Linked DNA regions of Xenopus tropicalis. Each later gene encodes a partner of the first gene's protein in a complex. Links are inferred from orthologs where the notes say so. Each region holds a gene or a part of one and is shown in the gene's direction. Other genes may lie near its edges.

Evidence for each region. Proteins that work in one complex are often made in the same cells at the same time.
Region 2: chuk (region 1) and nfkbia share a complex: the UniProt entries of both Homo sapiens proteins name them as parts of the 70-90 kDa complex. The link is inferred for Xenopus tropicalis from reciprocal best matches to the Homo sapiens genes CHUK and NFKBIA.

Annotation. Positions count from the first base shown.
Region 1 is NC_030683.2:110,589,458-110,594,557, reverse strand, and holds the start of chuk (inhibitor of nuclear factor kappa-B kinase subunit alpha), read left to right. Parts: upstream 1-1,841; 5' UTR 1,842-1,880; intron 1,881-5,100.
Region 2 is NC_030684.2:109,511,449-109,516,454, reverse strand, and holds the start of nfkbia (NF-kappa-B inhibitor alpha), read left to right. Parts: upstream 1-1,760; 5' UTR 1,761-1,880; coding exon 1,881-2,116; intron 2,117-3,286; coding exon 3,287-3,395; intron 3,396-3,747; coding exon 3,748-3,955; intron 3,956-4,058; coding exon 4,059-4,147; intron 4,148-4,260; coding exon 4,261-4,521; intron 4,522-4,931; coding exon 4,932-4,976; 3' UTR 4,977-5,006. UniProt on the Homo sapiens protein: Inhibits the activity of dimeric NF-kappa-B/REL complexes by trapping REL (RELA/p65 and NFKB1/p50) dimers in the cytoplasm by masking their nuclear localization signals.

The DNA of each region.
Region 1 (5,100 bases):
GACAAGGGAGTGGTTTGAATGAGAGACAGATATAAATAGACAAGGACCCGAATAGAAAAATAAGTTATGAAAAGTAACAATAACTAAAAGGTGAACTACGCCTTTAAGATTCACTCATTAGGTGAGGTTGCTAAATCAAATCTTCCCATATGCCCATCTGAGGTGGGCAATATTGGGCTAATTTGATTGCTGGCCTAGGGCCAAACCATTGAATTACAATGGAAGGCGTAGGCACTGTCGGACTGAGGACCACATCAATGAGCTGATGCAGTCCCTGATCTGACAGAAAAATCCAACCTGCCTGATCAACACCTGCCCGTTGTTCAGCCAGATATGGATCAGGAGGGCCAGACGGGGGGCCCCATACATGGGAGGATAAGCTGCCGAATCAGTCTAAAAAACTCGAATTGGCAGCTTAAATCTGCCTGTGTATGGCCACCTTAACTTTCTATTAATTGGCCTTCCCAGTCCATAATGAATACTGCTGCTAGGCTCATACACCTCAAAAATCGATTATCCTCTGCCATGTCCCTCTGCCAATCCCTGTATTGGCTTCCGCTACCATGACCCTCACATTCAAAGCACTTTATATCTCTGCCCCACATCTCTAAAATCATCTATAGATACCAACCAAACTGGTGGTTACACTTCTCTACTAACCTTATCTCTCATTCCCATCTCATATTTATTTAGAGAAGCTTCCCCTCATTTAGTATAGCAGAACTTACTGAGTGCTACTGAATACCCTATGCTACATCTCTCATCTTGCTGACTTCTGATCTTGCCCATTCCCACACCTTGATCTTGCCCATTCCCACACCTTGATCTTGTCCATTCCCACACCTTGATCTTGCCCATTCCCACACCTTGATCTTGCCCATTCCCACACCTTGATCTTGCCCATTCCCACACCTTGATATTGCCCATTCCCACACCTTGATCTTGCCCATTCCCATACTTTGATCTTGCCCATTCCCACACCTTGATCTTGACCATTCCCACACCTTGATCTTTCCCATTCCCACACCTTGATCTTGCCCATTCCCACACCTTGATCTTGCCCATTCCCACACTTTGATCTTGCCCATTCCCACACCTTGATCTTTCCCATTCCCACACCTTGATCTTGCCCATTCCCACACTTTGATCTTGCCCATTCCCACACTTTGATCTTGCCCATTCCCACACCTTGATCTTGCCCATTCCCACACCTTGATCTTGTCCATTCCCACACCTTGATCTTGCCCATTCCCACACTTTGATCTTTCCAATTCCCACACCTTGATCTTGCCCATTCCCACACCTTGATCTTGACCATTCCCACACCTTGATCTTTCCCATTCCCACACCTTGATCTTGCCCATTCCCACACCTTGATCTTGCCCATTCCCACAACTTGATGTTGCCCATTCCCACACCTTGATCTTGCCCATTCCCACAACTTGATGTTGCCCATTCCCACAACCCTTTCTTCTTTTAAATTGGAAGCTCTTTTGGGCAGGGCCCTCTTCACCTCTTGTATCGGTTATTGGTTGCTTTGTATGTAAGTCTGTATGCCCAATGTATTGTACAGCGCTGCGGAATATGTTGGCGCTTTATACATATAAGTTAATAATTATAATCTAATTTATTCCTTTTATTTAGACAATCTAATGTGATATTTGGATCCTTTACATATAAATACCATTAGAGGGTGCTAAAGGTACAAAGGACTCCTGTGAGGAAGCCAGGAGAGCTGTGAGTGGCGAGGCTAGAGGTGAGCATTAGGACCCAGCAGGCACCTGGAGGAAAGTCACATGGGCGGAAGTGAAGCAAAATAGTGAATCAAAGAGGGACTGAGGAAGAGTAAAACAACAACACAGGACACTTCCCTACTCCAAGTAAGTTGTGTAAATGCATGTGGGGGTGAATTTACACTATGGGCTGTGTGTGATTTTGTTTTAGAGGGAGCACAAGTGGCGGAACAGAACTTGTTATACCCCCCTGCCCTTAGTCTCTGGCTCATCCAGACGTCTGTGTGTCACGTATAAATGGAACGAGTTCCTTCAGAACTGTAAACATGACAAAACTCGCCATCATGCAATTCTGCCTTATTGAATAGGTGACTAGTGGTTTAAAGGACGTCAATTCAAAAAAAGAATTCTATGGGGGGGTTTAGGGCCCACCGGGGCTACCACCCCAGGGGCCCCACACCCCCAAGGTGCTCTTCCAGCTGCGCCCCCCCTAACCCCACGCAGGGGCCCCGCCACCTGCCTGACATCCTCCCCTGAATGTGTGTAAGTGAAATGCGTCAGGGGAGGACACCGGCGGCCGGGGGAGCGGTAACAGGCAGGGTCAGACTGGGCCGCCGGGACACCGGGAAAAATCCCGGTGGGCCCCGGCCCTAGAGGGCCCCAGCGGCCCAGTCCGACCTTTGCCAGCGCTCCCCCTACTGACTGTTCCTCCCCGACGCGTTCAATTTATATGCGCTCTCGGAGGACATCAGGCGGGGGCCCTGCGGGGGGGGTTAGGGGGGCCCCTGGGGGGGGGTTAGGGGACACGGCTGGGGCACCTGCAGGGCCCCTGGGTAACAGGGATTGGGTCTGGGCCGCTGGAGCCCACCGGGTTTTTTCCTGGGAATCCCATTCCGACCCTGATTCTTTGCCTAATAAGCGAAGACATAATTCTAAGCAACTTCACAATATACATTCATACAAATTTGTATATATTATTGCTGTTAAAACAATGTGTTACATTAATAGTGTTACATTGTTTTGATGCAATATAACACAAGCCAGCTGACTGTGCAACATTGAGTCTAGGAAGGTTTTTAAACAGGAGTTAAGCAAATGCAAACCCTAAAAACATTCATTTTTAGGCTTTAGTTCTCCTTTAAAGCACTACAATTATTAAATAAATTTATATTGAAAAGTTAGCAAAATTTCATTTTTTTTGGTTGACTTTTAAAGGGGTTAAATGGATTTGGGTAACTGAGTTCAGAGTACAGGTATCAGACCCCTTATCTGGAAACCCATTACCCAGAAAGTTCCGAATTACGGAAAGGCCATCTCCCATAGACTCCATTGTATTCCTTTTTCTCTGTAGTAATAACAGTACCTGTACTTGATCCCAACTAAGATATAATTACCCCTTATTGGGGGCAGAACAGCCCTATTGGGTTTATTTAATGGTTAAATGATTCCCTTTTCTCTGTAATAATAAAACAGTACCTGTACTTGATCCCAACTAAGATATAATTACCCCTTATTGGGGGCAGAACAGCCCTATTGGGTTTATTTAATGGTTAAATGATTCCCTTTTCTCTGTAATAATAAAACAGTACCTGTACTTGATCCCAACTAAGATATAATTACCCCTTATTGGGGGCAGAACAGCCCTATTGGGTTTATTTAATGGTTAAATGATTCCCTTTTCTCTGTAATAATAAAACAGTAGCTGTACTTGATCCCAACTAAGATATAATTAATCCTTATTGGGGGCAAAACAATCCTATTGGGTTTAATTACTGTTTAAATAATTTTTTTTAGTAGACTTAAGGTAGGAGATCCATATTAAGGAATGACCCCTTATCCGGAAAACCCCAGGTCCTGAGCATTCTGGAATGTATAGTATGCAGTGCATTCTAGCCTGCTCCAAAATGGTTGTTGGCATGAAATGAGGCACCATAATGGGCATCCTAGCAATTAAGCCTTTTATATATGTGTAAATATAGTAACAGTGGTGTCCAAGAGGTTAAATGATTTGAGCCAGGCTGTATGCTATGCAGGGCATCCCTGCCTGTCAATCTATACTTTGATATCTGGGACACAATTATCAAAGTATAGATTGACAGGCAGGGATGCCCTGCATAGCATACATCTTATTTCAGCCTGGCTCAAACTGCGGCATAGAGGCGGGGCAGGCAATATATGATTGACAGCTCAGATTTTTAAATATATTTATAACGGGTATGAATGATTTATTTTAAAAAAAGGGTTGGGTTTCATGTTTAATTTTGAAAGAACTTTTATTATACAGCTTTTTATGACTGGGTGACAGGTCCCCTTTAAAACACAAGTTACTAGTATAAACAGGCAAAATATCCATACTCCCCACCTAAATGCCACTTTTCATTCCCAAAACCATTCCAGGTTGAAAAGATATGAATATAATGCAGGTCATCCCTGTCTGTGCATATACATTGAAATCAGTGGGCCAAAGTCATTTAACCCTTTAAATCATTAGTTATTCATCGGACCATATTAGAAACTAATGCCACTTTTCCTGCACAGAACTGTTACAGGCAAGGGTAGAACAAGATACATAGTATGTGGGGGATCCCTGCCTGCCAATCTACCTGTGGCCCAAGGTCATTTAACCTTTTCAACCAGCCCATTACTTATTCAGAAAGCCAGAATTGCAAAGATGCCCACTTTGGAGCCACTTATCCTTTCCAGAATCCTTTCGGGCCAGGCCAGAACAGGGTGAATACAATATGAGGAATCACTGCCTGAAAATAGTTTTAAATCAGCAGCCCAAAGGCATTAAACACCCTCAGCACCCCTGTTACTTATTCAAATCGGCATATCTTGGGCCAGGCTGGAAAGTGGTGCATACAATGCACCCTGCCTGCAAATATATAGGTTTATAGCAGTAGCTCAAACTTATTTAACCCCTTTAGCACATGTTACTTATTCAAATAGGCAGGATTGCAATGATGGCCAGATTAATGCCATGTTTCTTACCCAAAACACTTTCGGGCCAGACCGGAACTAGGTGCATACAATGGGGCGAATCCCTGCCTGCAAATATATATTTTTAAATCAGTGGCCCAAAGTCATTTAACTCTTTAAATCATTAGACACTAATGCCACTTTGGGGCCACTTTTCCTGCCCAGAACTATTTTGGGCCAGGCTGGAACAAGCTGTACATTATGTACGGAACCCTGTCTATGAATGTATACTTTTAAAACTGTCGCCCAAGGTCATTTCTTTTAAACACTAGTTACTTATTCACTGACTGAATTAGAAACCAACTTCAAGGCACAAATAAGAAACTGGCAGAATAAGAAACCAAATTCAACGCTGTCCAGTCTCGGACTGGCCCACCTGGATACCAGG
Region 2 (5,006 bases), on another chromosome or scaffold:
AGTTTTGGCACCAAATGCCGCCCCAATGTGGCCTAAGGGATGCTGCACCTACTCTCTTAAGGGTATATTTATTATACTGTGTAAGCCAACATTCGATATTCGGTGTATGTATAGTGGATCGACGAAGTGACCAATATCACAAAAAACCTTGGATATTGGTCGTCTTGCCAATCGGGCAGGGTAAAATATTTTGATCGGGCACTGTTGAAGCGCCTGAGCATAAGCATACGTTAAGGGCTGAATCGTCAAATAGGGGTAGAATTCTTATTGTTTTTGCCAATGGTCGCAGGAAGGTTGATAACTGTAACGTGTATGGCCACCTTAACTTGTAGGTGACCATTAAAATCTAATTGCTTATTAAATGCTATATGCAACATCACAGCTGATTTTGGCTTACACACTATAATATATATGCCCCTTGTGTCAGGGGGGCACATCCAGCACCGGATTTCTAAATGACGCGCCCCGAGGCCGCCCCCATTTGGCGCCCCCTACCCGCCGTGCGAGCGCGCATGCGCAAACCACCTCCTCCTCCCCTGCCGCCGCGCTAATGCGCATGCGCCAAAGTTAAAACTCCCATACAGAGCAGTGGGGAGAGGTCCCCATTGCTCCGTATGGGAGCAAAATTTTGAAATTTGCGTGCGGCGGGGCAGCATGCCGCCCCTATGTTTATGCCGCCCTAGGCCCGGGCCTGGGCACATCACTAGTGCAGAGCGCACAATAGTATAGTCAAAGTATTCCATGATGTTTTTGGTTTACTACTTTTATTCCCACACAAGAATTACGGACAGATAACCTTCGGCAAATGGCAATTAAGTTATTTCACCTAAGCAAGGTACCTGAAACTATTATCGTTATAAAAATAATAACTATTAAATTCATACAATCTCATTTCATCCCAACAATAATGCACAAAGGGGCTTATGTTTTTTTTAAAGCAAATGCAAACTGCAATTAGGATTGCCACCTGGAGGTTATTATACTGGCCTGACCAGTTAAAATACTGCAATATCCCAATGTTAACTGGGTAGAGAGATGAAAATTTAGGAAGACCTGTATTTCTTTCCAGTGGGAAAGCCTTACTACAATGCACAAAAGAGTGCAAAATTCCATGTTTCACCCACAATGCAACGTTATTCCCCAGAATCCCAGTGTAATCTTGCTGCTTATGACGCAATTTTTGCAGCCTTTTGGGGAACATTGCGCGAAAGTTGCATTGTTTGTAAACCCCTCGTTTCTGGAAGTTGCTGAAATAAAACAAAATGGCATTAGCATCAATCATTAGGTGCAAGTCGGTTGTGTGTGTGGGTTAAGGTGCAAAATGCAAATGGCTCCCCGGACGTTGAGCTCTTATGTATTTAGCATAATATCAATAGTCTGTCAGACGAAGGTATATTTAACGCATATAAATGCCGAGTATGATGTGGGGAACTAATGTGTATTTTTGCCCGAATCCCCCCAGTGTGTCCCAGGAATGGTGAGTGTGCTGAGAGGAATGTACATGGAGTAGCTGCGCACGTCTGAAAAAAGGGAATTTCTGAGCCTTGTACATATTTCTGCGCTCTTCCTTTTATTGTACCACAGAACTGGCTCCGTCAGGTTCATTGTGTTCCTATACTGACTTATTCTTGGAATTTCCCAGAGTACATAATAGTTCACAAGTAGGAAACTGAGCTCGGCTCCACCCAGAAAAAACCCCGGCTGTATATGTAAAAGTAGCCTGCTGGGGGAGGGAGCTGCCAGATCGCTACCAGAAGTCGCTCTGATCGGATGGGATTAGTATAGAGGAGGCTACAGCTACAGAACTTCACTATCGCAACTGGGATTCTACAGTGTCTTCTAAGCTATTTTGCGGGGAAGCTCAACAACCGGCCGCCGCCATGTCTGTGCCTTTTCACGATTACCAAGGGAATATGATGGAGGGAGAAGCTAGGGATCTCCGGAAGGACAAACTGCTGCAGGACGATCGCATTGATAGCGGCCTGGACTCCCTGAAGGAGGAGGAATACACGGCTATCATTACTGACCTCAGCAACATGAGAATGGAGGGCCCGCCGGACACATCGAACTATGAGCCGGAGCCATGGAAGAAAGAGGTCAACGAAGATGGAGACACGTAAGTGATAGAGAATGGGTTCGTTATATGGCTGGGGATTGTGCTCAGTATCTACTGATATTGTATAGGGGCGATGAACCTTAGTATTAGTACATCTAAAACCATTACATCTGCCTTGCACAGTGTATATACTGATAAAGGGATAGTACTCTATAGTGCTGCACTAATATATATATATATATAACAGGGACACCTAGGTTTGGGGCAGTGTTTAGTGTAGGATATGTAGATATTTACTAATGCATGACTTCTTTATGGTGAATGCACAGTTAGGTGCATGGGGCAGGCTACACTGCATAACACTGCAATTTATTGTGCAGCTTTTTCATGCAACCATAAACATGCAGTATTAGTAAGTTGTGCAAATAGTTAAAAACCCTTGTGCTTTTAATGCTTTTTTTATATCATGCATTGGTATTTGCAAGCATGCAGCAACGCCGGGCAGCTGTTAGATGGCTTGGTGCATGTTTGTTCTTGGTAGGGGAATTTTTTTGTTGGTGCAGAAGAGACGCCATATCTGTCTGGGTTTTCCCTTCTTCGTGTGAGCTGGAGGGAGGGGGGGTGGGAGGACACCTTGTTCTCTGACTTGCTGCCTCAGAGGGGTGGGGGCTGGCAGGCACCCAGGGGCAGGACTCTGGCTTTGGAAAGTCCCTGGCCAGTAGCCAGGAACACAACTGCACACACACACACTCTCACACTCACAGCAGAAAGCGGAAAACAACAGACAGATCTAGAGAAGAAAAAATCCCCAGACTTACACAATTGCATAGTTGGCTGGGGGAGGGGGAAGTACACACTTGTGTCACCACTGACTAGTATTGCAGCTCACCGACATGCCGCTATGATGAAATAGGTTCATTATGAATTATTATTTCCTATTGCTTGGCAGTTTCTAAATTTATGAAGTTTTATTCACCTCGATCTTTCCCACACACTGAACCTTAACACCACTTCACTTACTGGTTCCCAAAGGGGAGGGGGGGGTACATTTTCTACTTCTGAATGATGAAATAGTAAATACAGAAATGACATTTTGTAATAAGATGCTAAGATTGGAAAGCTAGTTTGTCATTTCCCATAAACCTGCTAGTTCATCTTTTCTTTTTTTATGGTTAAATGACACAAATTTGCTTCTCTATTTTAACATGTCCTTTTTATGTTCCCTTCTAGGTTTCTCCATTTGGCAATTATCCATGAAGAGAAAACCCTGGTGAAGGAGGCAATCCAACGTTCATACAGGGACCATTTTTACCTGAACAAGCAGAATAATCTGCACCAGGTAATTTACTTTTTATTTTTTTTCTAAACCTTGTAAAAACTTTATTTCTAGATTAGCTTGTCATGTGCCACCATTGTCGGTTAGGGCAGGGCTGTCCAACTGGAGGCCCGTGGGCCGGATGTGGCCCTCCAAAGGAATTTTAACATATAAAGTATAATAGAGGGCCAGTTTGTGGAATAATTGACCTATGACATGTAAGTTGGCCAGCACTTAAAATATTAATAGTCAGTGCACTCATAGCATGTTCATGAGGGATAGAATATAGTACAAGCTTATTCTGCAAGTTCAATTTTGTGTTTAATGAGAATGAATTTACTGATTTTTCTTTTTTTTTTTAATGTCTTTTCTGCAGACAGCACTACATCTGGCAGTAATCACCGAACAACAAGACATCAGCCAGTCACTTCTCCAGGCTGGTTGTGATCCAGAAATCCAAGACTTCTGTGGCAACACCGCCTTGCACATTGCCTGCAAGCAGGGCTCGCTTCGGGGAGTTGGGGTCATTTTCCAGTATTGTGAGAAACAACTGCCAGCACTTCTGCAATCTGTGAACTATGATGGTATGTATCAAACTTAATCTATAAACCTTTAGACGTGTGTTGTTGTGCTACTTGGCAAATTAGAATTAGAACTGCCTTGCTAATATCTTTCTTTCCGATGCAGGTCACACGTGCCTCCACCTGGCATCGATCCATGGCTATCTTGCAATTGTGGAAAATCTCATTAATAAGGGGGCTGATATAAATGCCCAGGTCAGTATTCCCCCTACTTCACTTGGCTACATACTGATGTTTCTTCCTGCCATGTCTATTGGATTCAATTTTGCCTCTAGATCTAAGAGAAATTTCTGTTTCCCTCACCACAGGAGCCTTGCAATGGTCGCACTGTGCTGCATATGGCCGTGGACCTGCAGAACTACGACCTGATGAAACTGCTGCTTAAGCACGGAGCAGATGTAAACAGAGTCACGTACCAAGGCTACTCTCCGTGCCAGCTCACATGGGGCAGAAATAACATGCTGATTCAACAACAGCTGGTTGAAGTGACACACAAGAATTTGCAGTACCTTCCAGAGAGTGAAGAGGAAGACAGTTCTGACTCCGAATATGAATATAATGATGATGAGGTGAGACCTAGAGACGAGTTCATCATAGTAATGGCATGGGAATGAATGGCAGTTAAACCAGTTTCAAGCACATGTAATAATTAGCCTAATGTTAAAGAATTTTTAATAATCTGTTGGGTTGTGCAGGCCCTAGCAGTTTGGGCAGCTAAAATAAAATAAAGCATTTAGGGTGAGGCAGGGATGAGATTTGGCAGGGGCTACGGAGACTGATAAAACCATAAACCCATCCATTTTTAGATTAGTGATCATCTTCTTCCTTTTAAGTTAGAAAAAAGTGGGTTCAGTAGCAACCCCTGAGTTATGTTTTGGTCCAACATGTAACTCTCTTGCAATAAAGTTGTCGCTTAATAAGGTTTATGTATAACAATTTTTGGCTCTAAATAGTTTTCTTTCTCTCTTTTGTCTAACAGCTTATGTATGACGACTGCATCATAGGGGGGAGGCCGCTGCATTAGACTGCTGTGTGTGAACTAAAAAAAAGAAAC